Neodiprion lecontei: one gene and its partners. Each later gene encodes a partner of the first gene's protein in a complex. Links are inferred from orthologs where the notes say so. Each region holds a gene or a part of one and is shown in the gene's direction. Other genes may lie near its edges. The genes, in order: ruvB-like 2, bromodomain-containing protein 8, histone acetyltransferase Tip60 and dynein axonemal assembly factor 10.

What was found.
Region 2: ruvB-like 2 (region 1) and bromodomain-containing protein 8 share a complex: the UniProt entries of both Homo sapiens proteins name them as parts of the nuA4-related complex. The link is inferred for Neodiprion lecontei from reciprocal best matches to the Homo sapiens genes RUVBL2 and BRD8.
Region 3: ruvB-like 2 (region 1) and histone acetyltransferase Tip60 share a complex: the UniProt entries of both Homo sapiens proteins name them as parts of the SWR1-like complex. The link is inferred for Neodiprion lecontei from reciprocal best matches to the Homo sapiens genes RUVBL2 and KAT5.
Region 4: ruvB-like 2 (region 1) and dynein axonemal assembly factor 10 share a complex: the UniProt entries of both Homo sapiens proteins name them as parts of the PAQosome complex. The link is inferred for Neodiprion lecontei from reciprocal best matches to the Homo sapiens genes RUVBL2 and DNAAF10.

Annotation. Positions count from the first base shown.
Region 1 is NC_060263.1:34,674,154-34,681,369, forward strand, and holds ruvB-like 2, read left to right. Parts: upstream 1-2,912; 5' UTR 2,913-3,044; coding exon 3,045-3,050; intron 3,051-3,484; coding exon 3,485-3,598; intron 3,599-3,714; coding exon 3,715-4,149; intron 4,150-4,214; coding exon 4,215-4,647; intron 4,648-4,687; exon of another isoform or gene 4,688-4,755; coding exon 4,756-5,024; intron 5,025-5,086; coding exon 5,087-5,192; intron 5,193-5,514; coding exon 5,515-5,540; 3' UTR 5,541-5,802; downstream 5,803-7,216. Other genes in the region: protein penguin, read right to left, coding at 527-2,455; uncharacterized protein LOC107218712, read right to left, coding at 6,653-6,684. UniProt on the Homo sapiens protein: Possesses single-stranded DNA-stimulated ATPase and ATP-dependent DNA helicase (5' to 3') activity; hexamerization is thought to be critical for ATP hydrolysis and adjacent subunits in the ring-like structure contribute to the ATPase activity.
Region 2 is NC_060266.1:5,248,198-5,257,301, reverse strand, and holds bromodomain-containing protein 8, read left to right. Parts: upstream 1-2,817; 5' UTR 2,818-3,002; coding exon 3,003-3,021; intron 3,022-3,688; coding exon 3,689-6,735; intron 6,736-7,442; coding exon 7,443-7,625; 3' UTR 7,626-7,862; downstream 7,863-9,104. Other genes in the region: T-cell immunomodulatory protein, read right to left, coding at 323-2,096, 2,532-2,578; uncharacterized protein LOC124295608, read left to right, coding at 8,321-8,497, 8,644-8,884, 9,098-9,104. UniProt on the Homo sapiens protein: May act as a coactivator during transcriptional activation by hormone-activated nuclear receptors (NR). Isoform 2 stimulates transcriptional activation by AR/DHTR, ESR1/NR3A1, RXRA/NR2B1 and THRB/ERBA2.
Region 3 is NC_060265.1:23,411,479-23,418,984, reverse strand, and holds histone acetyltransferase Tip60, read left to right. Parts: upstream 1-2,984; 5' UTR 2,985-3,172; coding exon 3,173-3,268; intron 3,269-3,370; coding exon 3,371-3,428; intron 3,429-3,520; coding exon 3,521-3,589; intron 3,590-3,823; coding exon 3,824-4,916; intron 4,917-5,046; coding exon 5,047-5,151; intron 5,152-5,211; coding exon 5,212-5,263; 3' UTR 5,264-6,208; downstream 6,209-7,506. UniProt on the Homo sapiens protein: Catalytic subunit of the NuA4 histone acetyltransferase complex, a multiprotein complex involved in transcriptional activation of select genes principally by acetylation of nucleosomal histones H2A and H4.
Region 4 is NC_060266.1:1,917,792-1,923,632, forward strand, and holds dynein axonemal assembly factor 10, read left to right. Parts: upstream 1-2,619; 5' UTR 2,620-2,786; coding exon 2,787-3,053; intron 3,054-3,118; coding exon 3,119-3,619; intron 3,620-3,682; exon of another isoform or gene 3,683-3,728; coding exon 3,729-3,826; intron 3,827-3,893; exon of another isoform or gene 3,894-3,914; coding exon of another isoform or gene 3,915-3,924; coding exon 3,925-4,132; 3' UTR 4,133-4,520; downstream 4,521-5,841. Other genes in the region: DNA polymerase alpha subunit B, read right to left, coding at 1,050-1,104, 1,232-1,457, 1,720-1,798. UniProt on the Homo sapiens protein: Key assembly factor specifically required for the stability of axonemal dynein heavy chains in cytoplasm.

The DNA of each region.
Region 1 (7,216 bases):
GGTATTAATATATGCCTATTCGTATAATTATACAATATTAACGTGGTGAAATCAAAACAAAACAAAATTTAAACTCTTATTTGTTTAGTTAATTTTCGAATAATTCCTCTAGATTTCATTATGCTAATTCTGTTGCCCTGCTCTAACATTCAAGCCAGTCTTTATAGCTAAAGTTTAATCAATTTTTAGCTAATTTTTAGTGAACTTGATAGAATGGTATCGTATAACGACGATGAATTCACATTTAATGAGTTATGCGTCATGGTTACCCTTAGAAAAGAATTATGTAACTTAGCCTACTTATTTATATTGCAGAAAATATTTAATAAATCAATTTCGAATCGAGTTTCATGTTAAACGATGTCTGTAATAAATAAAAAATAAAAAAACGATGTGAATCAAACATTATATTTATAAGATCTAATGTTGCTTACATCATTGCAAATAGTAGATTTGAAATAAACAACTAAAACAAAATAATGTACATTTTTTGAAACACACATTTGATGCTCTCAACACAGAGGCATTACTTGAGTTTTTTTAATAATATAGATGCTCCTGGTGTTTTTTTAGATTTTAAAGATTTTTGTAGAGGTTTCAGTTTAGTTAATACAATGTTGGCTGTGGTCTCACCACTATTTTCTATCAATGTTATGAGTAGAAAACAGCCTCTGTTGAATTCAATCCATTGTTTCATTACTTCTGGGTTCAATTTGTCAATCAATACCTCTCCGAAGGTAGACTTCTTGTTTTCAATAAGTATTTTATCATTCTGTATCAATTTTTTCAGCATCATGTGAAGCCCAGAAGATTCAATTACCTTCTGTTCCTTTTCATTTTCCATTATTACTGATTCTGGATCTGTTATATAATCTCTAATAGTTTCATGAGCATTTTTGAGCTTCTCTCCATCCCCTGCTTTCAATATTGCCAACGTAACCATTGATATTGAACTATTTGATAGCCATGTCGATACTTCTGTAGTAACAGTTTCTAACAACTTATCAATTACTGCGTCCAATAGCTCTTTTGCTCGTATTTCTGGTGGCTTTTTACTAGTTTCATTGGCATCACCTTTTTTAAGTTGTTCGATTACTTTCGGGTGAAAATAATGTGAATCCCTTCTAGCAACAAGATATAGAATTACGCATCTGCCATATTCATTTGACGCAATTTCTGTCAGATCATTCAGCAATTCTGTCAATATCATTTTCTTCACGAGAACTGTGTCGTCAATGCAGTCAAACAAAGCTAATAACACCATATGACCATGCTCGTTTGTCGCCACATTCTTGACTTGATCTTTCAATGCCTTCATCGCAAGTTTTCTGTCTTTCTTTGTACCATGCCACAAACAAATCATTGCAGACTTAGCACCATCCTTTGTCTGAGATAATTCTGCAATCAAACTTCGGACCATAGTGATCATTTCATCTCTATCATCTTTGGTGCAATTCCTTAAGAATTCAAGCAACACAGAATGTACAAGGGAGGTGTTAATCAGCTTCTTATTTAGTATTTTTATCAAATTTCCTTTGACAGCTGAGAGAGTTGCAGATTTCATATCTCCTGCAAGCTTATAGACATCAGCAAGTGTTTTGATTTGACTGTCCTTGGCTAGTTTGTACATATCACCATAAAATTCTTGTTTAAAATATAATTTATCTGCATCGGTCGCCCAAGATGAATATGCAAGTTCAAGTACTGGTGCAGATACTGAATGGCTTGCTAGCCTAACTATATTGCCACTACACGCCGCAATTATCATAGCTCGAATTTCATCTGTCCCATGCTTCAACAATGTTTTGACACAATTCTTGGCATACTTCGACTGTAACATTAGAACAATACTTTTCTGTAATTCATCAGTAACATTTTTTCTTATCTCAGAAGTGCAGTACTTGAGAAGCCATTGAACAATCCTTGCCATGTCATGCATGAAGACAAGTTTACTAAATTGTCCCTTGAGTAATTCGTATAGCTGCGTTGTGAGCTCTACACGCTCTTCTTTAGAACAATCTGCTCTGCGTAATTTTTCACCAATCTTCTTAGCTTTGACGGTAACATCATACGCATTCGTCAGTCTTTTTTCCCTTCGTTTTTCCCGCAGTTCTTTCTTCTGTTTTTTAAACTCTAACCAATCTGGTTTCTCAGTTGTGTCTGTGCTACCATTTATAGATTTGTATTGAACCTGAGTTTGTAGTCTTTTCTTCTTATTATTAATCTTGTCAAACAATTTCTGTGACTTGTCTGCCTTGGCAGGTTTCTTTGCAGCAGTTGGTTTTTGGAATTTACCTTTTTTCTCCAAAGCGTCATTTTTTTGTGAGATGTTCACCTTCTTTAGCTTCGCATCTGAACTTTTTATGATATTCACTTTGGCAGTAGGGTCGACAGCCGTTTTAGCTTTTTTAATTATCGGTTTAAGGCTCACTGCTTCCTTTTCCCGGCGTTTCATGATGACGATTTTTACCTGTAACTTGAAAAGAAAAATTGTACGTAAAATTTATCTAGCGTAACGTATTGTTTCTACCTTTCTGATGCTTCTGCAAGTATTTCAAACATTTCGAACAACGTGCGTGCAAAACATAACCTATTAAAGACGACACCGATTTATGAAAATTGAGTTTAAATTTTGGAAATACTTACTTCTCAGACTGAATTTCGAACAGCGTAAGCAAATCAGTAGTAATTATACTAAAGTCAGTGAATTATCGGATATTTATAAATTAATAAACCGCACCATAGAATCACTAAGCTAAGGTGTAAATTATTGCGCCAATGTACGATCACGTGGCGTGCACTTGGCTTTGCTTGGCTTTCTGAATTCTGGTAATAGGATTCACGAGGTAGCAGTTGCGTTGAGCTGCAGACACATTTCACGGTTAGTTACTTTCTGTCGCAGCGTGGCGCTGCGGCAATAAAATGACGCTAAATACTACCGCAAGGTTTCGCTACCCGTAAAAATGTACCCTACAGCGATGCGTGGCGCATGCAGAAAACTGTTTCCTTGGCAACTTTACGATCAGTCAACAGAGTTGTAAATCATGGCGGTAAGTGGAAATGCGTCGTAGATATTATGCATTTAAATTATTATTTTTCGCATAGAATTCGGCGAAAAGATTGATAAATTTGATATTTTCCTACTAGCTTATTGATTGAAGCTTACTCTGTAAATTCGTCTTTTCAAAAAACCTTCTTCTTCAAAACATAACCGTGTCGACATGCGGCGTTTGGCACGCGTGAACGGTAACCTACAAATTTGCGACGATCAACACAGTCTTCCGTCATTTCAATGTGATTCAATGCTAAATTTTATTGCAATCGTTTACTGCGGCATGTTTTAAAAATTGAAGATCACACTAACTATTCATTTGATCACATTTACCACTGACAATCCGTTGGTTGTTATTTTTTTATACTTAGATTAGACAACATTAAAGGTATCCAAGAACCAAATTCAGTAACAAAAAAAACTTTATTCCAGGCCGTCGCTGCAGCAAAGGTGCAAGAAGTTCGTGAGATCACTAGAATCGAGCGCATTGGCGCTCATTCTCACATTCGAGGTTTGGGACTGGATGACAGTTTAGAGCCGCGCAATGTAAGATTCACAATAATATATTATATTTGCAATGTATCCCAGCCTTGTATCAATAACTCGGAATTCAGCAAATATCATGTACAAATTTCGTTACAACAAAGATGAATTACTCGCAGGTTTCTCAAGGTATGGTGGGCCAGCTCATGGCTCGGAGAGCAGCAGGTGTTGTGCTCGAAATGATCAAGGATGGAAAGATCGCAGGACGAGCAATTTTGTTGGCTGGACAACCGGGCACTGGTAAAACTGCAATTGCGATGGGAATGGCCCAAGCTCTTGGTCTAGATACTCCGTTCACGTCAATGGCAGGCTCGGAGATTTATTCCTTAGAAATGGGTAAAACTGAAGCTTTAACTCAGGCGATACGAAAATCAATTGGAGTGAGAATCAAAGAGGAAACGGAAATTATCGAAGGGGAGGTAGTAGAGATTCAAGTTGACAGACCAGCTACCGGTGTTGGCGCTAAAGTAGGAAAGTTGACATTGAAAACAACCGAGATGGAAACCATTTACGATCTGGGCAATAAAATGATTGATAGCCTGATGAAGGAAAAGGTAAGTAAAGTGAAAACAGTTATAAATTATCGACAAAATTTAAATGAAAAATGTTTCCATTAAAGGTACAAGCTGGAGATGTTATAACGATTGATAAAGCCACTGGAAAAATTAACAGACTTGGCCGTTCGTTCACACGAGCTCGGGACTACGATGCGACGGGATCACAAACCCGTTTTGTTCAATGCCCAGAAGGAGAGCTCCAAAAACGAAAGGAAGTGGTACATACGGTTACTTTGCACGAAGTTGACGTTATTAACAGCAGAACTCACGGATTTTTGGCACTGTTTTCCGGAGATACGGGGGAAATAAAGTCTGAAGTACGGGATCAGATAAATGCTAAGGTTGCAGAATGGCGAGAAGAAGGAAAAGCTGAAATCGTACCTGGTGTTCTCTTCATTGATGAAGTACACATGCTGGATATCGAGTGCTTTTCATTCCTCAATAGAGCCCTTGAGAATGAAATGGCACCTGTCGTTATAATGGCCACTAATAGAGGTAGAGTTTTATATTTATTTAAGATTCAGTTTATTCTTACCCAAAGAAAATGTAATCGATAATTCCACTCCACCAGTGATTCCATTAACGGCATTTAATAATCGACAGGAATCACAAGGATTAGAGGTACGACTTACAAAAGCCCTCACGGTATACCGATTGATCTGTTGGATCGAATGATCATCGTGCCCACAAGTCCATATCAAGAAAAAGATCTTAAAGAAATTCTCAAAATTAGATGCGAGGAGGAGGATTGTGAGATGGCGGACGATGCTTTGACAGTATTGACGAGAATAGCCTTAGAGACGTCGCTTAGATACGCTATTCAGTTGATCACCACTGCGTCGCTTGTTAGTCGAAAGCGCAAAAGCACTGAGGTATGCGAATAAAATTATAAGTGTCGTCTTGTCAATTTGTACATACTTGATGTTCGTTGCAGGTCAATATTGATGATGTGAAACGTGTGTATTCCCTATTTCTTGACGAGAATAGATCTTCACAGTTCTTGAAAGAATACCAAGATGAATTCATGTTCAATGAATTGGGTAAGTTTTCTTACCATTAGATGTACCTACTTTTCGAATAATTCATTAATGGATTCAGACACGAAATATTTGATTCTGAGTGTAAACAACTACTTATTGTCCTTAGACACACACACACACACACACACACACACACACACACACACGCGCGCGCGCGCACACACACACACACACACACAAAATACTTATTATCAGATTGAGCTTCCACATACCTATGCTTGCAAACTGAAAGAAAATTGAAATATGAAATGAGAACCAATTTGATCATTTCCGTGTTTATATTGTATGTGCCGTTATGAAATGACTTTTTCTACTTGCGCAGAAGAACAAGCTATGGAAGTTGCGTAATAACTGACTGGATTCATCGAGTTTCTTTCTAAAGTTTGATGGAGTTGACAAAGTCGCACGTTCGGAGTTGAACAAAAAAATATAGATCTACCAACACAGGTATTGTAATTCCAGTACAATTCGCCGTTTCGCCGCGCTGGTTTTGTGTTATTTACCTTTATATGGCGTGCGAAACTTTGCTATCATCACGTACGAGCATACAAGTATATAAATAATTACACGACGGTTTATTATGAAATAATAAAAAATATAAAAAATATAATCTTGCATTTTTAAATAATCGTAGATTATACGTATATATTATTATCATTATTTTAATATAAAGCACTGGTTATAGTGTCTGTACCAACATTGGGCTGTGCAAATATTCGAGATTTTGTTCTACTTTTCTATATTCGTAATCTATTAGGTACGTACATAGTCTTATCAGTTACAAAAATGAAATGGGTTTAGAGTAGCCAATAGATCTTTGAAATGCGCAACAGAATATTATTACCTAATTTGTTCATTGCAAAACTTATGCGGATAAAATTGTTATTGATTTGAAAAAACCAATGTTTGTACAGAAAAATTAGTTTTTGGTGTAAAGCTTCTATTCCTCTATGATTAGACCCAACCTCGAAGTCAATTCAGGCATAATTGCACCAAAAACAAATGAAAAAAAACAATTTTATTATCATATTATTGATCCAACGCTAGTAAAACTTTTCAAGCTTTGGTTTGCAGTACTGAATCGATCGTTTTTCATTTATTCTATTTCCGTTTGGACAATACTTTTTTAGAACTGGGATTACTTAATTTCAAATTAATCTAACGCTTACGCTTATTTTTTTAAATTCCCGTGTCAAAGGTGCGAGAGGTTTCCTCGACTGATTGCGTTAAATCAATGTTTCATCCTATTACCGCAGGCTTGAGCTTGGTAAATGTCAGTTAAATTGCTCCCGTAAACTTCGGTTGTTAGAATACTATTAGTACCCTCGATAAATTCAAAGTTAAATCTTAGATTGCTAAAGTGAAGTAGGATATCCTCCATTCCTCGAGCGTTGTAAACGTGTCTCCGTTTAAAAAGGTGCTTCATGTGTAGGCGCGGAGAATGTTAAAAATTTTAACGACTACTCGATTTTCTTGTCTTGCGTTTTTTTGGCTGAAAAATAAAAAAACAAAAAATATGAACTACTATTAATAAAATATTGACAGCAATATATTCTCGCCAACATCTGCAGTAGCAAAAAATAATATCATGATTAATTAATATCTTGGTCTTATCCTCGATAATTGCAAACATTTCCGCTGGTGTAATCTTGGTCCATGGTACGTTAATACAGAAAAAACGGGCAGAAATTTTGATTATTATATCATTATTTGTTTGTCCAGGTAAGCGCGTATCTATCGTGCATTACATTTCGATTAAACCTTTGTACCTCAAAAGTGTTGGACCGAATCACAGCGATGCAACCCTTTATTGATTTAAATTTCGACAAATTAGAATAACAAATTCATTCACGACGGTTACAGGCATCAACGCGATCTGCTCAAATTTACATGAAACTTCGAATCGTACCCGCGTGATATCGCTTGTGCTATTGATTTATCCGTAACTAAATTATTGGATCATTTTGAAAAAACCAGGTGTACCGCAATTCTATAATCCCCAATTCCTTTCACAAATATGACTA
Region 2 (9,104 bases), on another chromosome or scaffold:
GCGTTTTAACGTGCATTGGTTATCAGAAACAAAAACATCTTTTGATGGAATATACAATATAAGTTATGTAAAACCGAAATTTTAGAGGCCTAAAATTTGTGACAAGATCCCTTCTTTCCGAGTAACTTTTTTGCCCAATCTCGGTTTCGGCATATTTTTATTACCCTTGTTTTTGCATCCCTCATAAGAAGGAAACTTAAAACAGTCTTGGCAATTCATTTAGTTACACGTATAATTCCGTTCTACAGGATAAAGTATGTTTTAAATTAGAAATATATATTTTAGTGAGAACTTAAGCTGAATTAACAGTGATAAAAGCTTATTACATAGCATCAAAATGGAATCTGTGTGCCTCCTGAAGTTTTTCAATTTTATCCTCTCTCCTTTCTTTCCAATATAGTCCAAAAATTATGGCAATAATCAGAGCGCAAGTTGCAGTCAATGCAGCAACGCTCAATAGGATCAGTTTACTGGGTGTTACAAATAACTGAACTTTCCATCTAGAAGGTTCAGAGATTGGTGTCGGAATCACGACCATCTGGGAATTGGGAATAATTTGTGTCCATTCTCGGGACTTGTTGCTCAACCCTATTGTGAGGGTATCAATAAAATTTGGAGTGCGACCCAACCCAAACGTTGAGTATGGCAAATTGAGGGAGAAGTGTGCGCTCTGCGGTAATTGTGCCGCTACTGCCATGCGCATACTTCCATCCTGTGTCGTCGTTTTGTAAGCGATCGATGGGCCTGGTAGATTTGTGCCATAGGTCCGTTTCTTCTTGCCAAGTGTTCCAGGCGTGATGGGATACAGGCTGTTCGATAACCCAGTCAAAACCATGACTTTAACAAAATTAGCATCGTAGTCCAAGCTATTTTTGAACGCCAGAGTTCGGTATTCATTTCCCTCTTGCTCTATCAAAATCACGTCCAATATGCCATCTTGATAAAAATCATAGAAGACAGCCATAACTGTTCTGTTGTTCAAGGGATTCAGAGCTGTCCATTGTACAGAAAATTTTCGACTAAACTCTTTACAGTTTGTGCAAGGTACGTTCTCAAGCAAGAATGTTCTGGGCTCAGATTCTGACGCAACTGTCAAAGTTGCCAGTAAATCTGGGTACCCATCCATGTTGAAATCGCCGCCTCTCAGAGTTATTGTATCCGTGTAACGCCGCCCGTTAGGTTTACAGAAACCCCAGTCAATGTTGTCAGGATCTTTGAAATCTACTTGTAAATTGTGCCACCCATTTGAGTGTATCATAATAGTGCTGTTCTTGCATGCGGCATCATAACATGCGGGTAGAATCAGGTCCATTTTGCCAGTGAGCTCGACGTCCAAGAATAAAGATTGACCAACGACGGCGAAATTATGCGGCAAGCTGATGTTTTGATGAAGAGTGAAGTTCTCCTCGCTTCCCAGCCAAATTTCAAATCCATTCTCCGTTGTTATAAATAAATCAGGCATAAAATCGCCATTGTAATCTAGAAACGCGTTGGAATGTGGTTTTCTTATGAGCGCAAAGTTATCCCCATTTTTAGATTGCATTTTTACAACTGCTGGTGAAGTTCTATTCTTATTGAATATCCAAAATGTTCTTGTTTGATTTGCATCAAGTCCAAACAAATCAATAATCATGTCTTGGTTGTAATCGATGGCTAACGGCTGTCCAAACATCACAATTACTGGATTCGACTCAGGTGTACAATTCAACTGCCCGTTTCCGCCCCACAAAATGTGTCCGTAGGTTAGACCGTCCTTTATCGTTGTTACGAAAACATCCATAAATGCGTCACCATCAAAATCCCCAGGCACAATGCTGGTCACTGAATTATTAAAGGTACACTTTAAGCCTACCCCAGGCCTCAGGAGAGGCTCTTGCTCGGCTGCCAGCATAATTTCAACGGATTTACCATCCGTGTCGATCACAAATACATCCGTCAATTCGTCAGAGTTGAAATCGCCAAACGCTGCAGGCATCTTGTCCAAAATTTTTCCATATACCGTTGATGTTATGTCGCTGCATCGTGCGACAATTAAAAAATTCGAGATGAGGTAAACAAATAAAATTGCCTTGCCCATTTCGATAGCTTTACATAGTCTGCAATGAAAAAAAGATACGCAGTAATGAGTCATCTGCTTATTTAATTTCTTTTCAGTTTGTGGTTTCTATGCCCATCTAAGCTATTTACATTTTATTGTAATTCTGTCAATTGTATGTCACAAGTTTTACTTGCAATGCGAAGCATATGTAAGTATCAAGGAGGCAGGTAATGATTTATGTTTACTCAATAAACATAAAACACATTTTTATCAGAGGTTAGAACTTCTCGATATTTTACTTATTCTCACCTAGTGGAGATGTCAAGATGTTGTATTTCTTTATTTCTGAAGATCAAAGACGATTGATTGAATTTTGTTGCAAACAGGAATCTGTCCCTTGTATTTCCTTATTCAAGCATACAATATTCTATTAACGGGTACTGCATAGTTCTTAAATGGACTTTTGTCATACTCAATTGTCAAAATAACACACCCAGGTACATGTAATCGAAACAGCCGTCCGGAAAATGATCTATGCATGTATGTACGTCTTTTTCTATCTCGTTGGTTTTGAAGGACATGTATAGTTTAAAACAGCTTCAGCTTTGCCACTACAGCACAATTTAACTAAATGTAGTGCTTTTTTTATAACGAAAATAGGGGATTGCCTGCAGTGTTCTGAATTCTATCAGTTATCTTGTATCTCTTTTACACTATCAAGTCGACCATTGGCTCTCTCTCTCGCTGTCTTACAAAGTTCTTGCGCATCAGTCTGCGCAACTTCAGCACTGGGCTGTATTCTGTGTGGTTGCATTAGCGTATTGTATTTCCCGGTGGTAAATGAAAACTGAGAAGTGCACGAAACTGAACGAGAATTGCGGTACGTTTTGTATCAAAACATGAATGACCAAGAAACTCAGTGAATTGTTAATGAGACACACATGTAAGAAGAACTAGTAGCAACATGGCATCTGCACAGGACAGTAAGTTATCGCCTAGACTCTGTATATTCACTAATTTTGCCGTTTCGTTTACTCACAGTTTTTAGGTTAGAGTACACAAACGACTTATTATTCAACTGTGTACGGTGATTTCACGGTTTTATTTGTCACAAAACACTGATTAATCCTAGTATTTATTTCTTCGAAATCATTTAGACTAAATTTACAGATGGAGATTTCCACGCGAAACCGATTTTATTTGTGTATTGCAAACATAACCACAATATCATTCGAATTGGATGACAAAGGCGATTGATACTTTACCAAGCTTTTATTTTTAACTGTATTCCAAATTGGACTGATGTTTCGAGAATCTTTATATTTTCCAGGTTCAAGCCGTAGTTATAGACAACCATTTCTCCTTTCAGTTTTTTTACTCACACATATTTTGGAAACAAAATTTTTAAATCTCTAATTTTCACACACCAACAAGTTTTTCTTGTATTTCTAAAGCATTGCCAATCATCACTGAAGAGAATCAATGTATCTATGTAAGAAATTAAACATGATAATCATTGGAGACATGCTTGAAAGTACAATTTACTTTTGGAGATACTTGCCAAGTCTTAGTTAAATGGATTGCTGTTCTTGCATGGAAGTCTCCAGAGATGATTATTCCTCAACTATTAATAAATTATTGCAATCGTAGGGATGAAAGTAAAACGTGTTCCGTACGATACATGGAGCACAAGAGAGCAGCTATGCTTGGCTGCAAGCGTATTGTATTCTGGGGAGAATGTTCAGAATTGGAAAGCCGTGTCCGAATCATTGGAGCCGTTTGCTGAAAAAGAAGCATTGCGACCACCTGATTGGTTTTCTCAAAAGTCTTGTGCCGTTCAATATTCACACTTGTTGGAAACAGCGGATACTCCGAAAAGGAAAAAAAGGGAGAGCGGAGAAACGCAAGCTGAATCCATAGTGAATCGATTAACACAGGAAAGAATTGCGGAACTGAAACAAATTCTTGCGTTTCAAAGAGACGAATATCAGCAGCTCAAAGCGGAAGTAAACCTTTTAAAATGCGGCCCCTTATCCGACGATAAGCTGCAGAAAATGTGGCAAGTCATTGAACAAGAAGAACGGGAACAGGAGCAAAAAGTCAGAGCATACGCCGCATGGCTAACCAAACGACAACAAAAGCAAGAATCTATGATAACACCGCCACCACTTGTCCACCGAAAAGCGGTAGACAGTGTGATGGAAAACCATGATGCTTCTGTATCGGAGTCATCGAATAATGACGAGGATGAAAAGAAACGAGGGGGCAGATCGCCGCTCCTGACGAGCTTATTAAAGTCCACCAGCCCAACGACTCAAGTACAAACACCACCGACGCCAACAAAAGCTAGCTCCCCTACCATAGCCAGTCTCCTAGTTTCGAGTCCAAAGGTCCCGAGTTCCCAGCTAGATCGTGGTCTGGCACAAAATGTTTCTTCCCAATTGCAGCAATTGGTCTCTACCGCAATAGCAAACGCGCCACCCGAAAGACCTTCAGCTGGTGCGCCAACGCTTTCTATGCTTTTGGAATTGCCGGCAAATCCGCAGCGTGGACCGTTACCAAACTTGCAACCGTCCTCTACGGTAACAACGCAGCTTAGTATGCCTCCCGAAATTCATTCTTCTCTACCAACCAACGCACCGTCAACATCCGAAGGTGTTTTGCAAGTAATCAATCCTCCACCGCCGGTATCGGTATCTCAGAACATCCCGGTAACAGAGAGTATGGTACAGATAATAGACCATATAGACGAAGTTATTGGGAAGGATATAATGGCCGACGTTATTGACAAAGATGAAATAAACGAAATCATTGGAGATATTGAGGAGCTGATCAAAGAGGAGATCACTTCAAGCCCAAGAACGAACGAGACTCCATCCGCGGCCACTGTTGTGGAACCATTGACTGTACAAACGGTTCAAGAAACTGTCTCAAAGCGTCCCGAACCTCGCCCGAAACCTCGTCCAGAACCTCGGAACGTCGATGAGCCAGTATCATTGTCGGATTCACCTGAAAGTGAACTAGCAATAGAAGATATCGATTCAAGCACGTCAAATATCGCGGAAATCATTGGAACCGTAGCTGTAGAATCTACGGAGTCGAAAATAATGGTCACTTGCCAATCGCCGAAGGTTGAAGAGAAAGCCAAATCAGAGGCTGGGGATGCGGATGAGGAAAACATGGGTAACGAATCGTTAGCAGAGGAACTTCGGAATTCCCCTTATGAAGGAGACGATACTACCGAAGAAGTGGAGTTGAGTCCCAAAAGCGAAGGAAAAGAGTCTGAAAGCAACGAAAACACGCCGACGGATACAAAAGGGTCGGAAGACCGGAATATGGAGAAGAGTGCCACACCAGAGGTGACGGAAGACGCGATAAAGGAAGAAACTGACCTCATCGAAGCTGAGAAGGATACAACAAGCGACAGTACAAGTGATGAGAAAGAGCCTGTTCAGGAATCGGAGATTAAACAAGAACCGCAAATAGATCAACTGGAAATGGATCTTGCTGAGATAACCGGGGACCCACAAGACAAATCGGCTGAGGCAGCGCCCGCCAGTGTATCGTCCGAGACTTCAAACGATGGAGCTAGTGCAGAGGAAGCGGAGAAATCTCAGGACATAAGTCTGATTTTAGAAGATGACGAAAGTTCGCAAGGGTCGCAAAACAAGGACAAAACACCTCCTCAAGAACAGGTATCAGATATGGTGGACACTTTTGAGTCGTGTCCTGAGGAATCCACCGTTTCAACCGAGGAGGAACCTGATGTGGTGGTAAAAGTCACCGAGAACGTGCCAATCGTCATGGACGAATCAACAACTGAGTCCAAGGACAATGTTTCGGAAGAAATGGAAAAGGAAGAAGACAAGAAGGAGAGCTTTAAAGACTCTATCGACGTGATAGTTCATCAAGTCAACGACAAGGTGGCAGAGGTAGGCGGCGTATCAGGGACTGATCCAAATCCTCCTGTTATACCGGAAGCTGTGGAGGTTGTGAAAGAAGAAGCTCCAGATGTTCTGGAGCCCACGAAGACCGAAGAGTCAACATTAAAAGAGGAGGCAGAGAAAATGGTTATTGAGAAAACTGTGGAAGCAGAAGAACAAAACAAAATTAAAGTCGAAATTGATGCAGAATCTGTTACGGAGAAGAACGACGAGGTGGCAAGAGACAATGAAATGCCAGAGGATAAACCGGTAATAAAAGAAACCTTGGAACCTGAACCAGATGTCAAAAAAGAGCCGGTCACTGGAATCGCAGACGATGGAGACCTTGACGAGGAGGAATCTTCGTTGAGTAAATTGAGTGGTGGTCGCACCATGAAAACCTACTCCAAGAGGCCGGTTGTTACGATAGACAGTGAACCAGAGAATGAAGGAAGTGGGGAAGGTGCCGATTACCGTGCTTGGAAGAAAGCTGTTATGTTGGTATTTAATAGACTGGTCACACACAAATATGCGTCTGTATTTCTGAGGCCCATCACGGAAGATCAAGCGCCGGGTTATCATTCGGTCATTTTCCGTCCCATGGATTTGTCAACCATTAAAAAGAACATTGACAATGGAACCATCAGGTCTACAATGCACTTCCAGCGAGATGTTATGCTGATGTTCCAAAACGCCATTATGTACAACAAACAGGATACATTTGTCTACAAAATGGCTGTTTCCATGCAAGAAGAATGCTTGCAACACATGCAGGTGTGTTTACGAAAATATTGTATTAACCTGTTTTTGGTATTAGTCAAAGCTTAAGGGGATATAGATATATACGAGCAGACAGCTGCAAAAGCAGGTAAATTTTGCGGATTTATATCTCTACAATTCTCTATTCTCAACATTCGAGTTTTGTTTCTTTATTGAATAAAAAAAATGATCAACAATGAATGAAAAATCGAATCTCAACTTCAAATGGTCGCCGTTTTGTCGGAAAGAAAAAATTTCGAAGGGTGTTGCGATGTTGTCAAGTTTGATGTGGAAGGATGCATAACTATGCGAAGTAATTGAGAGTACGAGTTACCTGTCTTATGCTGTTCCAGAAAAGAGAAAATACTTAGAATCAAAAGAAAGTTTCAAAAGAGGATTTGTTCTTTAAAATCAGTACGTGTTGTACAGCATTCCAATCAACGGCGATAAATTCAATTCCAGATGTAAATATTCAGTTTAAAAAAATATCTTGCAAAGTCTTTTCTCGGTCAAAAATAAGAAAATGACTTATCTTTACAACTGACAAATATTGGATAGACTAATGCTTGGCAGTCAGCCATAACACTCAGCACGGTAGTATATCTGGGCATGTATCTCTGACTTGGATTTGGCACGGGAGTAACCCACGCCATGAATCATTTTTATTTGAAGCCTGGAAACTTGAGATCACTGATTTAGTGCTTTATTTTGCCTTTCGACAGATATTAGTACAAGTCACCGGCGAGGGACCGTTTAGAAGAGAAACAAGAACAGCTGCTAGCAGTAGTAGCGATTTTGGCGATTCGTCTGCAAAACCGCAGCGAAAAAGAAGTCACATAACTCCTAGCCCACATGACTCTGACAGTGCACGCACTAAGAAACGAAGAAAATCGGAGAACGATTAATACGTTCAAACAGTCAAGTGTCGATCTGTTGCTTGATAATGTTTCACGTATATCGTGTTCAAATTCCTTTCACCAACTTGTGGACAAAGTTGCTAGCTTGCGGCCGGTTGAAGGTACAAAAACATTATCGGGAAAATTGCACTGTCCACAGTACTGCAAGGTGTTAAAGTGTAGTACGCCTCATGGACAATATGTCACAACTGTATATACCATAATATAGAAGAATTATCTCCACAACTTGTGTTACATTTTTTATTGATTCATAATATTCTGATATCAGCCGTCGAAAAAGGATTTTTCCTCATTAATATGAACCATGGATATTTCAATTATTTCAATACTTGTGAAAATTATGAAAGCGTACTTACATTGATTCGAATTCTGGCCAACGATTTTCGTGATTTTTTCTATTGCATCGAATGCTTCTAAAACGGAACGAGGTAATTGTGAAGTGAAGAAATTCCATCTCTACATATCGAACACCCTTCATAGTTTCGTGACCACAAATGTCACAATTCATGAAGCAGTGAAAAAAAAAAGAATCAACAGAAGTTACTCTTAAATACTGATTTTGGCAGACCATAAGATGACTCTAGGACATGTCAAAATTTACAAGTTTCTCTTACTAATGACTGAAAACCGAAAATAAAGTTTCTACAGTAGTGAACAATTGTTTAATAAATATATTCTGAGATATGGGTGACCATGCTAGAGGAGATTGTAAAAACGCAATCTGCAGCTCCGAAGAAGAAGAACTTCAACAGGGAGTCTACAACAACTTTGTACATGTCGCTCCTATCACGTATGCAATGATGGCGCACTTAAACATCAATGAGAAGAGATTTCCCGTACCAGGAACATCCGGAGAAGCAGTAAGTTTGTTTTCCAAATAATCAAACTCTAGCAATTACAACTTTAGCTTCTTACTTTCAATTCCTCCAAATCGATTTTTCGTACATGAAATTTGTCATTAGCTATAGAAATCTGTAATGATCGTTCATCAGAGTTATTGTCAAAGCCAGCACTGCCAATGCCACCAACAGCCGACGATACTGACCGTCAATTTTGGGCCGAAGACGAATTGAGCGGTTCCGAGTCAAGGCTGCGTTTGGTTTGCAAGCAGAGGAGGAGACGCAGTGTGGCATACAGAAATCGAGTTGCTATTCGTAAAAGGAGCAGATCTCTTCTTCGTCAATCATCCAGCTCCAACTCTGATCCGGGCATTCGTATGAAAATTATGTCACCGATCAGTCACGGTGGTAAATTTCATGCTATTACAGATGTATTGATGAAGCATGCAAACTCCAGGGTATTGATGTCATTCAAAGAATTGTTTCCTAATTCGATACTTGGTGAAAAGAGAAAGGAAATTTGTAGTTCAATTTCTCTTTACACAGTGAAAGTTGAAAACTAACCATGGCCGAAATTCCGTGATGACGTCATATTTTGAAACGACTGTTTGAAACTTCTAGCACATAG
Region 3 (7,506 bases), on another chromosome or scaffold:
AATGGATGCACAAAAGTTACGATCGCTCGACTCACATCATGTGAATCAATACCGGGAGGGAGATTGGAAGGGCATGCATTACTGCGTGTCCTGGCGGCCGGCGGTCCTCTTTGACGCGAACCTTCGAGTTTTGCCCATTCAGACGATCACAGAGATCAATTGAGTTGAATAATAATTGATAATGACAGAAGGAACCACCCAAAAAAAAAATGTTAAAAAGAAAGACACAGATACGTACATAAATATCGTGACGGATCCCGAGACGATCACCTACCTACCCGATTACCCATATTCGATCTACGCGATTCTCCATTCTTTGCAACACACATCATTCTTTCTCATTTGCGCTGTGTTCACTGTGACCTACTTTTTTCGTTGATTACCTCTAGGAAGTAAAATGTTTTTGACCCCTGTCTTCTAGCTGCAATGCTATTGTACTTAAAAGAGTTACGTTCAAAAAATGACAATAACGTATTTTAGACGCAGGTTTCAATCAAATTAGTGGCAAGCTTACATTCCCGCCAACCCTATCCCTATAGTTTGTATTACTTTAATGGTTGCTGGTGGACTATCGGTATATGAACTATTTGTAAGATGGATCAGAAATTCCTATGGAATTTGATTACGTTACACTATATCGAACGTTGAAATTGCATTGATTCAATAATCATGTGAATATGATTAAACAATAGTTGGAATATATTAGAACCTCAGATAAACCCACTTAAACCGTTTAAATCGCCATGCTACGTTACAAAGGGGACCAAGGAAAACACCCGTAACCTAAACGCATGCTAACTCACCGGGGTTGCCGAGTAATGGAGAAGTTACTCGGATGTCTCTGCTTCACTCTGGAAAAATAAAAAAATTAACTCGAATTAGTTTGGCAAACTGGATTTTCAGTACTCAAATTAATTATTACTGTTATCTACGTCCATATTTATTCACTGAATGTTACACAAAGACAAAAATTCGTCTCTCAATGTGCCACCTTGAATTATCAAACAATAATTAAGATAGGTATTCTTACCTTCTCCAGGTTGCTCCACACTTTACATGCAGTAGTTCTTGTAGCATCTCAGGTTGAGTGGTGAGGTAACGCCGTATTTACACTGCAATAAGAAAATAACAGAAGATTACTCACACAATATACTTGGACTAGATTTCGCGTGACGGTTTTTTTTTCCATATTATCTCAGTGGTGGCTGCTGCTATTAATAAATGACATGTAGGAATGAATAAAAGAAAGCTAATGAAATGAGCACAAGTAGTGAGTAAATGCACAAAATCAACGAGCAGCTAAAATCATTTACAATCAAAAGCGACATTATAAACAATAATCATATCAATTACGTACCTTCCAATTTTCTTCACTGTAGTGGATGGTTTAGTTTTCACTTTGTTCTCAGAGATCGATTAATCGGGTTACTTTATTTACTTCATTGCTAAATGCGGTTAATGGTGCTGCAGTGTAGTTTGTTCCTGTAATGGGGTAAGATATAACATTTCATTATTATTTTATCGTTTAAATCAATACACGTAGCATTGGAAATGCACCATAGTTTTTATAAAATATAATCAAAAAACTAAACAGCAATAAATTGCGAATAAAAGATCAATTTTCCAGAGTGAAAATAGTGTAAAAGGATAATCAAGGATGAAATAAAACGTGTACCTGCTTTGCGATCTTCCATAACGTTACGACCTGTTCGGTTATTGTATTTTGTTTCCCACATTCATTGCTAAGGTCAAACGATTCAAACTTTAGCTAGAACCTCAATCGATCTCGCTGCAGCTTATTTCTGTAATCAGATCAAAGACCACCCATATGATTTAAATATTTCATATTCAAAATCCATATACTCACGACCAGTGTTAAACAAACGGAATTGTAGTATGTTACATATTACGCTAAGCCTTGGAAAATTTTATCGATTGCCTAAATAATAAAGTGAGAAATAATTTTCATTGTTTTATGCCTGCTACCTTTATGCAATAAATTCATCTGTTCAGCTACCGCATTACATCTTCCAAGATTTATTAACAGGATTTTACAATCCAGCTAATTGCTAACATTAATCAACTTTGTTGCAATCTGTTTCTCTAATCAGGTAGGTTGACGCAATATTTTGTTCATAATATAACTTTAAAATCGATCTAAGCAGCATTCAAAATTTACCAGACTTACTCAAAAAGACAATATAAAATATAAACAACAATCAGCGATTCGTCTTCATTCATTTTTTTCATTAGCGATTATTTTATAAAGTATAAGATGTTGAGTGTAATTTTAACATGTCACCTTATAAGCTACCGACAAGGTCACGACAATTAAAGTCACGAAATAAATAGTAACGCTGTAACGCGTCAACCCTTGTTGCATGGAAGTACGAATCAAAATTCTCAGAAATGCCTCGGTGTTGATAAACAAACGAAGGTCTGTTGATTCGCGAACGGTGAACTGCGCGAGTCACCGCGCTACGCATTATAGGGACGCGAGTACAACTACATGTTAATAACGAAACTCTTTCATTCAGCGTACGTTCCGATAGACTGTTTTTTACGGCAAAATAAACCAAGTCATAATAAACGTGCTAAAATTGCATTTTACAAAGGTCCGTTTGATCAGAAATTGAGAGAGAAAATCGCAACAGAGAATTAACGGGACATTCTCTCGTCACAAAACGCGGTGAACAGTCAAACGTTTGCCCGAGAACAATCTGAATGTGTCAACGAACTATCTAGAAAACTTCAAAATTTTAGAAAGAACTCAAATCACCTTATGCAGACCAAATATTGCGGTACGAATTCTAGACGATCAACGCACGTGGCTCTGCTCCTGCTGCTCGAAAGCGAATGACGCCGCTCACTTACGGAACGAAGTTTCGGGCTGCGCGCGGCGAATGCGCAGAATGCGGCCCGCGTCGTACAAAATTGCTACTCTCCGCAGCGTCAGGCGTAAATATGTATTCTGTATTTTCTGTACTACATAATCTGTAACGCATTTCGGAATTAATTAAATATTTCGCATTAACGCAAAATTAATGGAAAGTACGAGACGAACCGCAAACCTTGTCTCTTTACAATATATATATTACCGGCAACGCTTGCGTTTAGTGAAAGGGTTCTGTTCTGAGCCAAGAATAGCGCTAGTGTCTGCTCCCCGAAGTGTATGAAAACAACATTGTGTTTAGTGACAAGTTTTGGTCAAATTCTGATCAAAATGATCGAGGAACACGATGAGCGGGAGACGATATGTGATTCAGTGGTAAGTAGAGCTGTATTACAACTGCGAAGGATATGAATATTTGACCCCGGAGCAAACGTTGGATGTAATTGTGAATTTTACTAATTCTAACCTCAATTTCAGTCATCACTTGTCGAGGGTTGTCGTTTGCCGGTCAGGATGCAAGACGGCGACGACTGGCGTAAGTTACTTGTAGCCCTGCAAAATTATTTAAAATATTTGGAACTCGTTCCGCTGCCCTCTTCGTTTCTCACACAACGTTTTCTTTTACAGCGCTCGCTGAAATCATCAGCGTCAAAGAGATGCGAGGTGTCAAATGCTACTATGTCCACTATGTGGATTGTAAGTATTCAATTACTGCAATTAGATGACAGGAAACTTTGCAAACATGAATATTCCATAAAACGTATCTTTGTATTATCATGGAATAGCCAGTTGATTAGCTTTTCTGTTAAAAGTTTACTGTCATTAGCCATGAAAACTTGAACTGTCACTGCAAACTTGATATATTTGAATAGTGCACATTGTTTCCCTTCGATATGCCACTCCGAACAACAGGAAATTAAATTATTTCAGTTAACAAACGATTGGACGAGTGGGTGATGGAAAATTGTTTAGATACGCGGAAAGTTCAATTTCCAAGGCGAGATGGTACAGCGCCTGGAACGGGGGCAGCGACACCAAAAAAACAGATTCCTAGCAGGCCGCCGAGTCCAAACAATGTGATACCTGAGCCGGTCAACGGTTCGGCAGTACTGCAGGCAGCGTTACAGAAAAAAATTTCTAGAAAAAGAAAAGCTACATTCTTAGAGAACGAGGATTCTCAAGAAGCACCACCGCAACCTGTACCTGCGGCTACCGGCCCAAGGTCTACCGGTTCACTGGTAGCGCATCACCACGATGATGTTGTAACTAGGATGAAAAATATAGAATTAATTGAATTGGGAAGGCATAGGATAAAACCATGGTATTTCAGCCCGTACCCTCAAGAAATGGTCAGCCTCCAATGTATTTACATATGTGAATTCTGCCTCAAGTATCGAAAGAGTCGAAAATGTCTAGAAAGACACTTGGCAAAATGTAATTTAAGGCATCCGCCTGGAAACGAAATATACAGAAAAGGCTCGATATCGTTCTTTGAAATAGATGGAAGGAAAAACAAGAATTATGCTCAAAATCTTTGTTTATTAGCAAAGTTATTCTTAGATCATAAAACTTTATATTACGACACGGATCCCTTCTTGTTCTATGTTATGACACAATTCGATAGCCGAGGTTTTCATATTGTGGGATATTTTTCGAAGGAGAAAGAATCGACCGAGGATTACAATGTCGCTTGTATTTTGACAATGCCTCCTTACCAGAGAAAGGGTTATGGAAAACTGTTAATTGAATTTTCTTATGAATTATCGAAATTTGAGGGTAAAACTGGATCTCCGGAAAAGCCACTGTCCGACTTGGGGTTATTGTCGTATAGAAGTTACTGGGCCCACACGATACTAGACATTTTACTAAACGTCAAACCCTTAGTCGAGAATGAAAAACCACAGATAACGATAAACGAAATATGTGAACTGACGTCGATAAAAAAAGAAGATGTCATATCAACGCTGCAAAATTTAAACCTCATTAATTACTACAAAGGACAATACATCGTTACGCTTAATAGGTAAGGAGACAACAAATGATCGATTTCATCATCTTCATCGTGATCTAAACTTCTATGAATATACTTGACATCTAACGTTGAACGAAAATTAGTGGAAAAATCATTGAGTTATGATTGTATATTTTCACAGAGATATAATACAGCAACACGCCGCCGCAATGGAGAAGCGTCAGATAGGAATAGACCCAAAATGTCTTCATTGGACACCAAAAGACTGGAGCGTCAGAGCGAAATGGTGAACAAAACTAATATCTTGCAATACAAATACGCTAATGTGATTTAAAATTCGTTTCAGGAATCCTGGAACTGATTATCTACGTCACGCAAGCGTGCAAAATTGTACATAACTCTCGAATTTGTGGGGCTTTTTTTCTCGTTTTAAACCTGCTGTGTCTAGTTTCAAAAATATTGCATGATACATATACACCATATGTATGTATATAATATTGTTAGATGTAAATTCTTATACTTGTACAGATAGAGATCTTGTTAATTATTCATTCCATATGTGTTTTAAGTATAATTGGTTTGCCAACGCTCTTTCTTCTATATTATTTTATTGTATTTAATAATATTTAATAATATAGGAATAACGATAATTAATAATAACAATAATAATAATTATAAGACAACGGCCAGAGCAGTTCGACGTCGGTGTGGTGCGCTTGTTATTTGTTCGGATCTTGTATTTTATGGTACCACTCACGATTGCACAGTTATTATATTAATATACAAAATCGTAGAAAGATCATCTATTTGTATGTCTGATCGTCTGTATGCACGGTAGCGTTGAACAGCTCGTGACCAAACTTAAACTGCGTACAACTTGGGCATAAAATAATAAATCTTCGTCTGCGGCATTGAAGAACAAGCAATGTGGTGAACTTGACTAGATTAATGCCGTCAGTAACCGTATAGTAAGAATGAAACAAGAGAAGTATGCTCAAAAAATGCGAATTTTAGTCTCGACAAGGGAATTCAAAGTTTTACAAATACTATTTTCCTTTTATACGATATGGAAATTGCTCTCGTCACTCAATTTATTCCGTTTGCGTTTCTTTTTCCTTTCAAATGCATTGCCCGGCTAGTTGCCCACTGTTTAAATCCGTTAATACCAGCATTGTCTATACGCTTATTTTTAATTACACCTAAGACTATTTTTAAACGTTGTGGTCGAAAGGTGCAAAGGATCTTTGGTCTGGACATTTCATTCATTCAATAGGTCCAAGTGCACTACCCCATGCATTGATATTAATTTTCTCATACAAGTACGTCAGGCACCAGAAATCAGTGTAGCATGGGGTAAAAAAACAAAAATTATAATAATAACAGTGGTAAGATGTCTACAAATTAAGTATGAACCATAATTACTATCTTTAGTTTATTACAACGTTTAATTGAACCCCTACAAAGTGTTTACCGATTGTAGTATAGTGCCATGGCGGGCTATATCAAAGTTGTTATCGATTATCTGTAAATTGTCTTATCATTGCGTATTTTTGTCTGTATTAAATTTCACGCTTATAGGAGAAAGGAAGAGAGAGAGAGAGAGAGAAAGAGAGAGAGAGAGAGAGAGCGAAAAAGCAAAAAAAAGAGACGCTATGAGAAAAAAAATTATGATTTACAATAAATCAAGCTCATTTCGATTTAATTCGACTAGTTACTTATGTGGTGGACATCAATTGTTGACAGAAAAAGGAGGAACGAGAAAAAATCCCTTTTTTCATAGATTTAATCTACGAACATTGTCAAAATCTTTCGTCTTGTATTTCAGCAAATGTGAAAGATGTTTTTTTTTTTTTAGATTAAGTATTCAATCATGAACGGCGAATCGTAAGATTTATCGACTGATTTAGTCTGTACCGGTGTAAGGGAAATGGAAAATTAAGGGTGACGATGTACAAACATGTATATTAATTGTAATATCAACGAAGCAGTTGCGCAAATTTTGTCGAATATCTTTATACATATAGCTATAAGTATAATTATCTATCTAAATGGCAAATATTCATGAAACTGGACACAGAAATTATTTAATATTGGATAAGTACACATATATATATAAAAGTATATTATATATATATATATATATATATATATATATATATATATATATATATACAAACACATGTATAAAAAAATTTTAAGGCGCATTATCAATGAACGAAATGACTATTATAGCGATAATTACATTACTCTATACAACTTGTACAGCGATACACTTTGAGAGTGTAAAATTGTAAATAAATGAGATTTTATAAGAATGCTGAGATGGGTCTCATTCCTCTGTAAGAAAATAAGCCTCTGTTCTGTACTAATTCATATTTTATCAATCTGGATGGTTAATCAAAGAGTTGTCTTTTCTTACTTTTTCTCAACCGCAGGGTACGGAATAAATAATCCATAAGATAAATACATCATACATACATATATATATATATACGTATATATATAATATATATAATATATTTACAATATATATATATTGTATATATATTTATTATATTCAACAGTAACATCACAGTAGCTTCATATACAATAAACTTTTGTCATATAATAATTTACTTTAATTTGTGTTGGCTTTCATGTG
Region 4 (5,841 bases), on another chromosome or scaffold:
TTTTCGTCAAATTACGAAGCGGCGCGCGTTCGCTTGACGTAAGCTTGGCAACGGCGCTTTCATCAAACTGCCTAACGCTCTGCTCGGTTCCTGCTCTTCTACCACCACCGGCTGCATCGGTCGGCTAGCCGTCAGGATCGGGAGGAGAGGCGGTTTCACGGAACAAGGGGAGAGGTAGAAAAGAGACGAGAGAAAAGTGGGGAATGAAAGAGAGAAAAAGAGACAGACACAAAGCCGGATAGGAACCTTGGGAGATTCGAAATATTTCCAAAATTCGCCGGAGGGAAAAAGTGGAATGGAAAAAAAAAAACCGTACGAAACGATGATTCCTTTCCATTATCATGGGGAAAAAAGTAAACCACAATTTCCAACACACGTAGAGACACGCACATACGCATGTAAATCGATCTTCTTTGCCTGGGAACCAACCAATGAAGAGATTATGAACAAAAAATGAAAAGATTAAAAAAGTTGAGGCAACTATCACCAGCGAGCTGAAAACCTGCGCGGCAAACAAACGAAAAAAGTAACAGCCAAGAAAGCAAAACTCGTAGTGTACAGAACGTGTATGTGATCTGCCTGCTCGACTGAGGATCGAAAACGAGTATCTTGATCTCTAAATGATACCTGCGTGGCATAATACATGGAGGAAAGGATAGAGCCTGCAATGAGGGGGAGATACAGGAATGAATCACACGATGGCGCATACTTTCGATAATGCCTTTATAATGATGGGTTGTGGAAATATCCCCCCCCCCCCCCCCCCTCCCTCTGCCCCTTTAGCTCCGCTACTCTAAGAATATATCCTGACATTATTATCTTCCACCTGCGGTGAAAAGAATTTTTGACTATTCTCCGCTGTTTGGGATTTCTTGAATAGAATTAAGTAATCATTTATCGGCCCGTAAAAGCTGCAAAAGCGAGATAAATAATTCTGGGAAACTGTTGCAATAAAAGATACAATGCACGTTTTTATAAAAACACAATAAAAACAATGGAAAAATTCATGTCTTACAACTATTATGGAAAAATGTGTTGTTTTTACTCACTCTTGGCGTCGTTGGGGTTTTCGCACCGTAGAGCTCCAAAATATCTTCGTCATCACTGGGACCAAGTTAAGGAATCTGCTTGTTATTTTGAAAAGTATTTGTACCAGGTCTGGCAGTTTGGCGAATTGAGTTTCCAAGGTTTACGTGCAAGAATTTCAACTCAATTTGTTTGCAAAGGATACTTGTACTGTTTCATTGAGTGAGAGTTATACACGGCGAGTTTCGACAGTTTGGCATCAGCCTTTGAATTACCAGCGGAGCCCATGTCTTTCTTCAACTCGTTTCTTTCCATCCGCAGTAAATACTCCACAGTTGGGTTGTCGCCTCGGCACTGTGACACGCTGAATGCCATCCATGTTTCGACCAGCGCTTCTTCGTTTAAATTGTACAAATCGCAGAGATCGAGACCTGCGGAGGATCAACCATGTATTAGAAAATAGACTGTTAGCTATCAAAATGTAGGTAATCGTGCATGTGATCAGTTTTCCCAAATCAATTTTTCGGATTTCGGTAGAAGGGCCAAAGAAAACAGTCTACTAAAACGGTACGGTTTCTTTTCCAACCCCCAAAATTAGCGAGACGCGTTTCGACAGATATCGAAATTCCTCCTGCAGGATTTTAACTTCTACGTGCGAATGACGAACGCGAATGCTGAGATTTCGATACTCACATTTATTGAGAGTCGCCTCGTCGTTAACGACGACTCCGAAGACAGCGAAATGCTCCTTCAAAGCATCCTTCAACACCATCTTGTTGTCTGAACTCTGACCGACTGCTCTCTGTTTTCCCGCCAAATATATTTACGTACCTCGAGGTCTCTGGAATAACGAACATAACCTCACTCAATATCACGCTCTCACTCCATCGGTGTCTCTGTTTTTCCCTCCTCTACATCATGACTTGAGAAGGACAAGCTAACCATGCAAGTGCACGAGGCTAATTATTCAATCGTAAAAAACACCAATCACACTGCTATTTGAGCGATAAAAAATCTGCCGAAAAATCAACGCGCATTGTATCAACAAGAAGAGAAACAAGTGATTGTCGGCGACGCGAAACGACCGTTGTAAGTATTCAAACTTTCCTGATTCAAACTCCTTATTCTTCTTATCCTTACGCTCTGATTGGCTACTAGTCACATCCGGTGCTTCTCCACTACGCCGTTGATTGAAAAATATAAAGACGCGTATCGCTGAGCAAATTTTCCTGACCTGGGAGCAGAGAAGTATTATGCATGCGAATACGCTCATCTCCGAAATGGTCTATTAGGATTTGGCATTCCGATAGTACAGTAATGTTTATTAATGCTTTGGAAATCCGGCTAACTTGTTTTCGGTCCGAAACAAAATGCGAGTTTGTTTCTATAAGTATTATATGACAATGACTGACAGTGCTGGAGGTACCAGAGAGATTGGGAGTCATTGTCACATAATTCATATAGAAAAGAACTCGGATTTATATTTCGAATCCCAAATAAGTTAGCCAGAAGCCCAAAACTTTCATGAACATTATTGTACAACAGAAATGTGACTTTGACCATCGGTAGATTACTGCGAAGTGCTTACCACTTGATGAAAATCGCAGAAGCGATAAATAAGGCATACAGCTAATAGGAGGCGTTGGTATTTGTTTATCGCGTGTTGGCAGTCATTTAAAAGGCTGTCTCCTCGTGTCGATATCGGCTGGTAGAATTTCGCGGCTGAAAGTGCAACCAAGTCCGTATCGAATGATTTAAAAATGGATAAACTATCCAAGCCGCAGATAATATGTCACATCGAAAAGTCAGTGAACTATTCTTTGTTCGACGCTAAGTGGATACCAAGCAGCGCAAAGTTCGTCGTAATGGGTTCGAGGCCGCGAGGATCTGGCGTTTTTCAAATATACGAAATATCCAGCGGGGAGCTTAAGCTGATCAAAGAGATCGAGCGCTCTAATCCGATGAAGTGCGGCACCTTCGGAGCGTCAAGTTTGAGAGAGAGATACTTGGCCGCCGGAGACTTTAAGGTAAGAATCTGAGCCGCTGTTACCAGCTCTTTACTCGCTGTCGATTAACAATTGATCATTTTCAGGGTAAACTGAATATCTACAACCTGGAGGATCCTGCGATTCCTATTTATTCGGCAAATGCTCACAAGGAGATCATAAACTCCATTGACGGCATCGGCGGGCAGACGATAGGTTGCGGGGCTCCTGAAATCGTCACCGGCTCCAGAGATGGCAGCGTCAAAGTCTGGGATCCGCGGCAAAAGGGGCGGCCAGTTGCAGTAATGGAACCAAATGAGGGCGAAGACCGTAGGGACTGCTGGGTTGTCACTTTTGGCAACTCGTACAACTCTGAAGAAAGGGTCGTCGCGGCTGGCTATGACAATGGCGACGTTAAGATGTTTGACCTAAAGGCGATGGCTCTCAGATGGGAGAGCAACTTGAAGAACGGAGTTTGTGGATTGGAGTTTGACAGAAAAGATATCGCGATGAACAAACTGGTCGCCACCACTCTTGAATCCAAGTTCTACCTGTTTGACCTGAAAACTCAACATCCCAAAAAAGGATTCTCTTATCTTTCAGAAAAAGTAATTTGCAGTTCAGTTGTTTTGCTTGTAATTTTGTCAAAATAACCAGAAAGTAATTATTACCCTTTTATAGAGCATTGCAACAAGCCATAATCCGACTTGATTTCAGGCGCATAAATCAACTATATGGCTGGTACGTCATCTGCCCCAGAACCGAGAGATATTCATGACGTCGGGAGGTGGAGGATCGCTATGCCTTTGGAAATAGTAGATAAATTTCATTCACTCAAGTTCATAATTTCCTAACAAATTTTTAGTCGAATGTTATACTCACAATGTAAAATTTCTGTTCTTGTGTGCCGCAGCCAATATCCTGAAAAGCGAGTGACAGCAGACGCCGATGGCATAGAGCAGGGAGTAGTCGGTTCAGTATCTCTGCTCCAGAACAGCACGCTCTCTTCTCAACCAGTCAGTTCGTTGGATTGGAGTCCAGACAAGCAAGGACTTGCCGTCTGCACTGCGTTTGATCAATGCCTTCGTATCATAATCACCACGAAACTGAACACGTACTGAAAAAAAAGAAAAGTATCATTTTCTGCAAGATTTTTTTCAAATCTGTCCGGCTCGTTACTCTTTGCCGGCTTTTCGTACATTCCATGGTATATGCAGGATTATTAGCAGTATCATCTAATGGTGGGCAGAAAACCGTTCACGAGAATAAAATGGAAGACGTAAAATTGTATCAAGTTGGATGCAAAAACTTTGAGACTCAGTTCTGCGATTGAATCTAGAAGGAGAAAATAATTATGGAACCCAATAACGTATTTGAGAGCTCTCAGCACAGTACATTGTAAATAGTTTCATTTCTTCGCTATATATATGTACCGAATATCGCTGAATAGAAGAGCTTCGGTAATATACGCGGAAAAATAAAATAAAAGACTCTAAGACTTCCATCGATCACAAAGCGAGTTGTAGTATTTTTGTTTTGTAGATACAATTCAACGAGATGGGAGAAGAAAAGAAAAAAAGGTGTCAATTATTCTTATCGTATAATTGAACACGATGACGTGGTTTTTTTTTTTATCGATTTTTATAATTTCGATGTAAATAATTTACCATCAAAATGTTCGGGCATTATTTGATTCCATAATGCGTAGCGAATTACCGGTAACAGGGATACAGAGAGTGAGTTACGAGAGTATAGATATAGTGAAATTGTCTATAGACGAGCTAGGTAGGTAGGTAGATGGGTACAGGAATAAGCTACGGGAGTTTCTGCGCTGTTCTATCGATTTTCAAAGCCTGCGCAATTATGCAACAACATTAGAAACCAGAGACAGAACTGGGCACGAAGCGGGAGTGAGATGAAGAAAGAACGAGGTGGGGGACATGACCGACTACGAAAACACGTATGTAACGAGTCTAGGTGAAGGAGAGAAGAACAGAGTACAGAGTTTCGAGGAGGAGGAGAAGAAGAAGCAGGAGAGGAAGGGGTTGCGCCGAGATAAGGGGAATAATATGTTATTGGGGCAGTCTATTTGTAAGCAACCGCTTATTAACGCCGCTACCGGAGTCGGGCGGCCATTCGGCGTCGTTACGCAACGGCCATTTTGGTTCCGCTGCGACCGCGTCGTGTGATGGCATCCGAGTCCCGTAGCATCTCGATCGCTCGCCTAGCTTTGCTCTTTGCTCGCGCACCGCACACGGGCAGCGTGAAATCGAGGGTATTTTACCGTTGTGTTGAAGCGGGCACAAGGCGTGTGCGTGAAACACGGGATTACGGATATGCGATCGTAGATATTACAGCATTTACGGCGTTCACCAGCGCCGGCCATACTCGATTCTTACTAAGGGACCTGGCGATGATTTCTACAACCACAAATAATTTTATGGAAATTCGAACGTTTCCTATTTTTTTAAATTGCATTGGCTTGCAGAGAATGAAAATCTACAAGTTTTTGTGAGAAACTATTCATATTTTCAATTTAGAAATTACTTTCACCAAAGGGGGGGGGAAGAGGCGGAATCCGTACGCTCGCGGTACCCGATGATTTCATTTAAATAGCTAGCTGAGTGGCTCCGGCTGGCTCTATTCAAGGTCACGGATTCCGCGACTTTAATTACATGAGTTATCCATGCTCCGTGTACCCACCCGTTTAACCCACGCAGGGTGCAGCCAGCTTTGCTGCGGCCAATTATCGGAGTGAAATGGACTATTAATCACGTTGAAACCTTGCCCACGTTACACTATAAAGTCAAAATTTGTCCGAGAGAAAGAG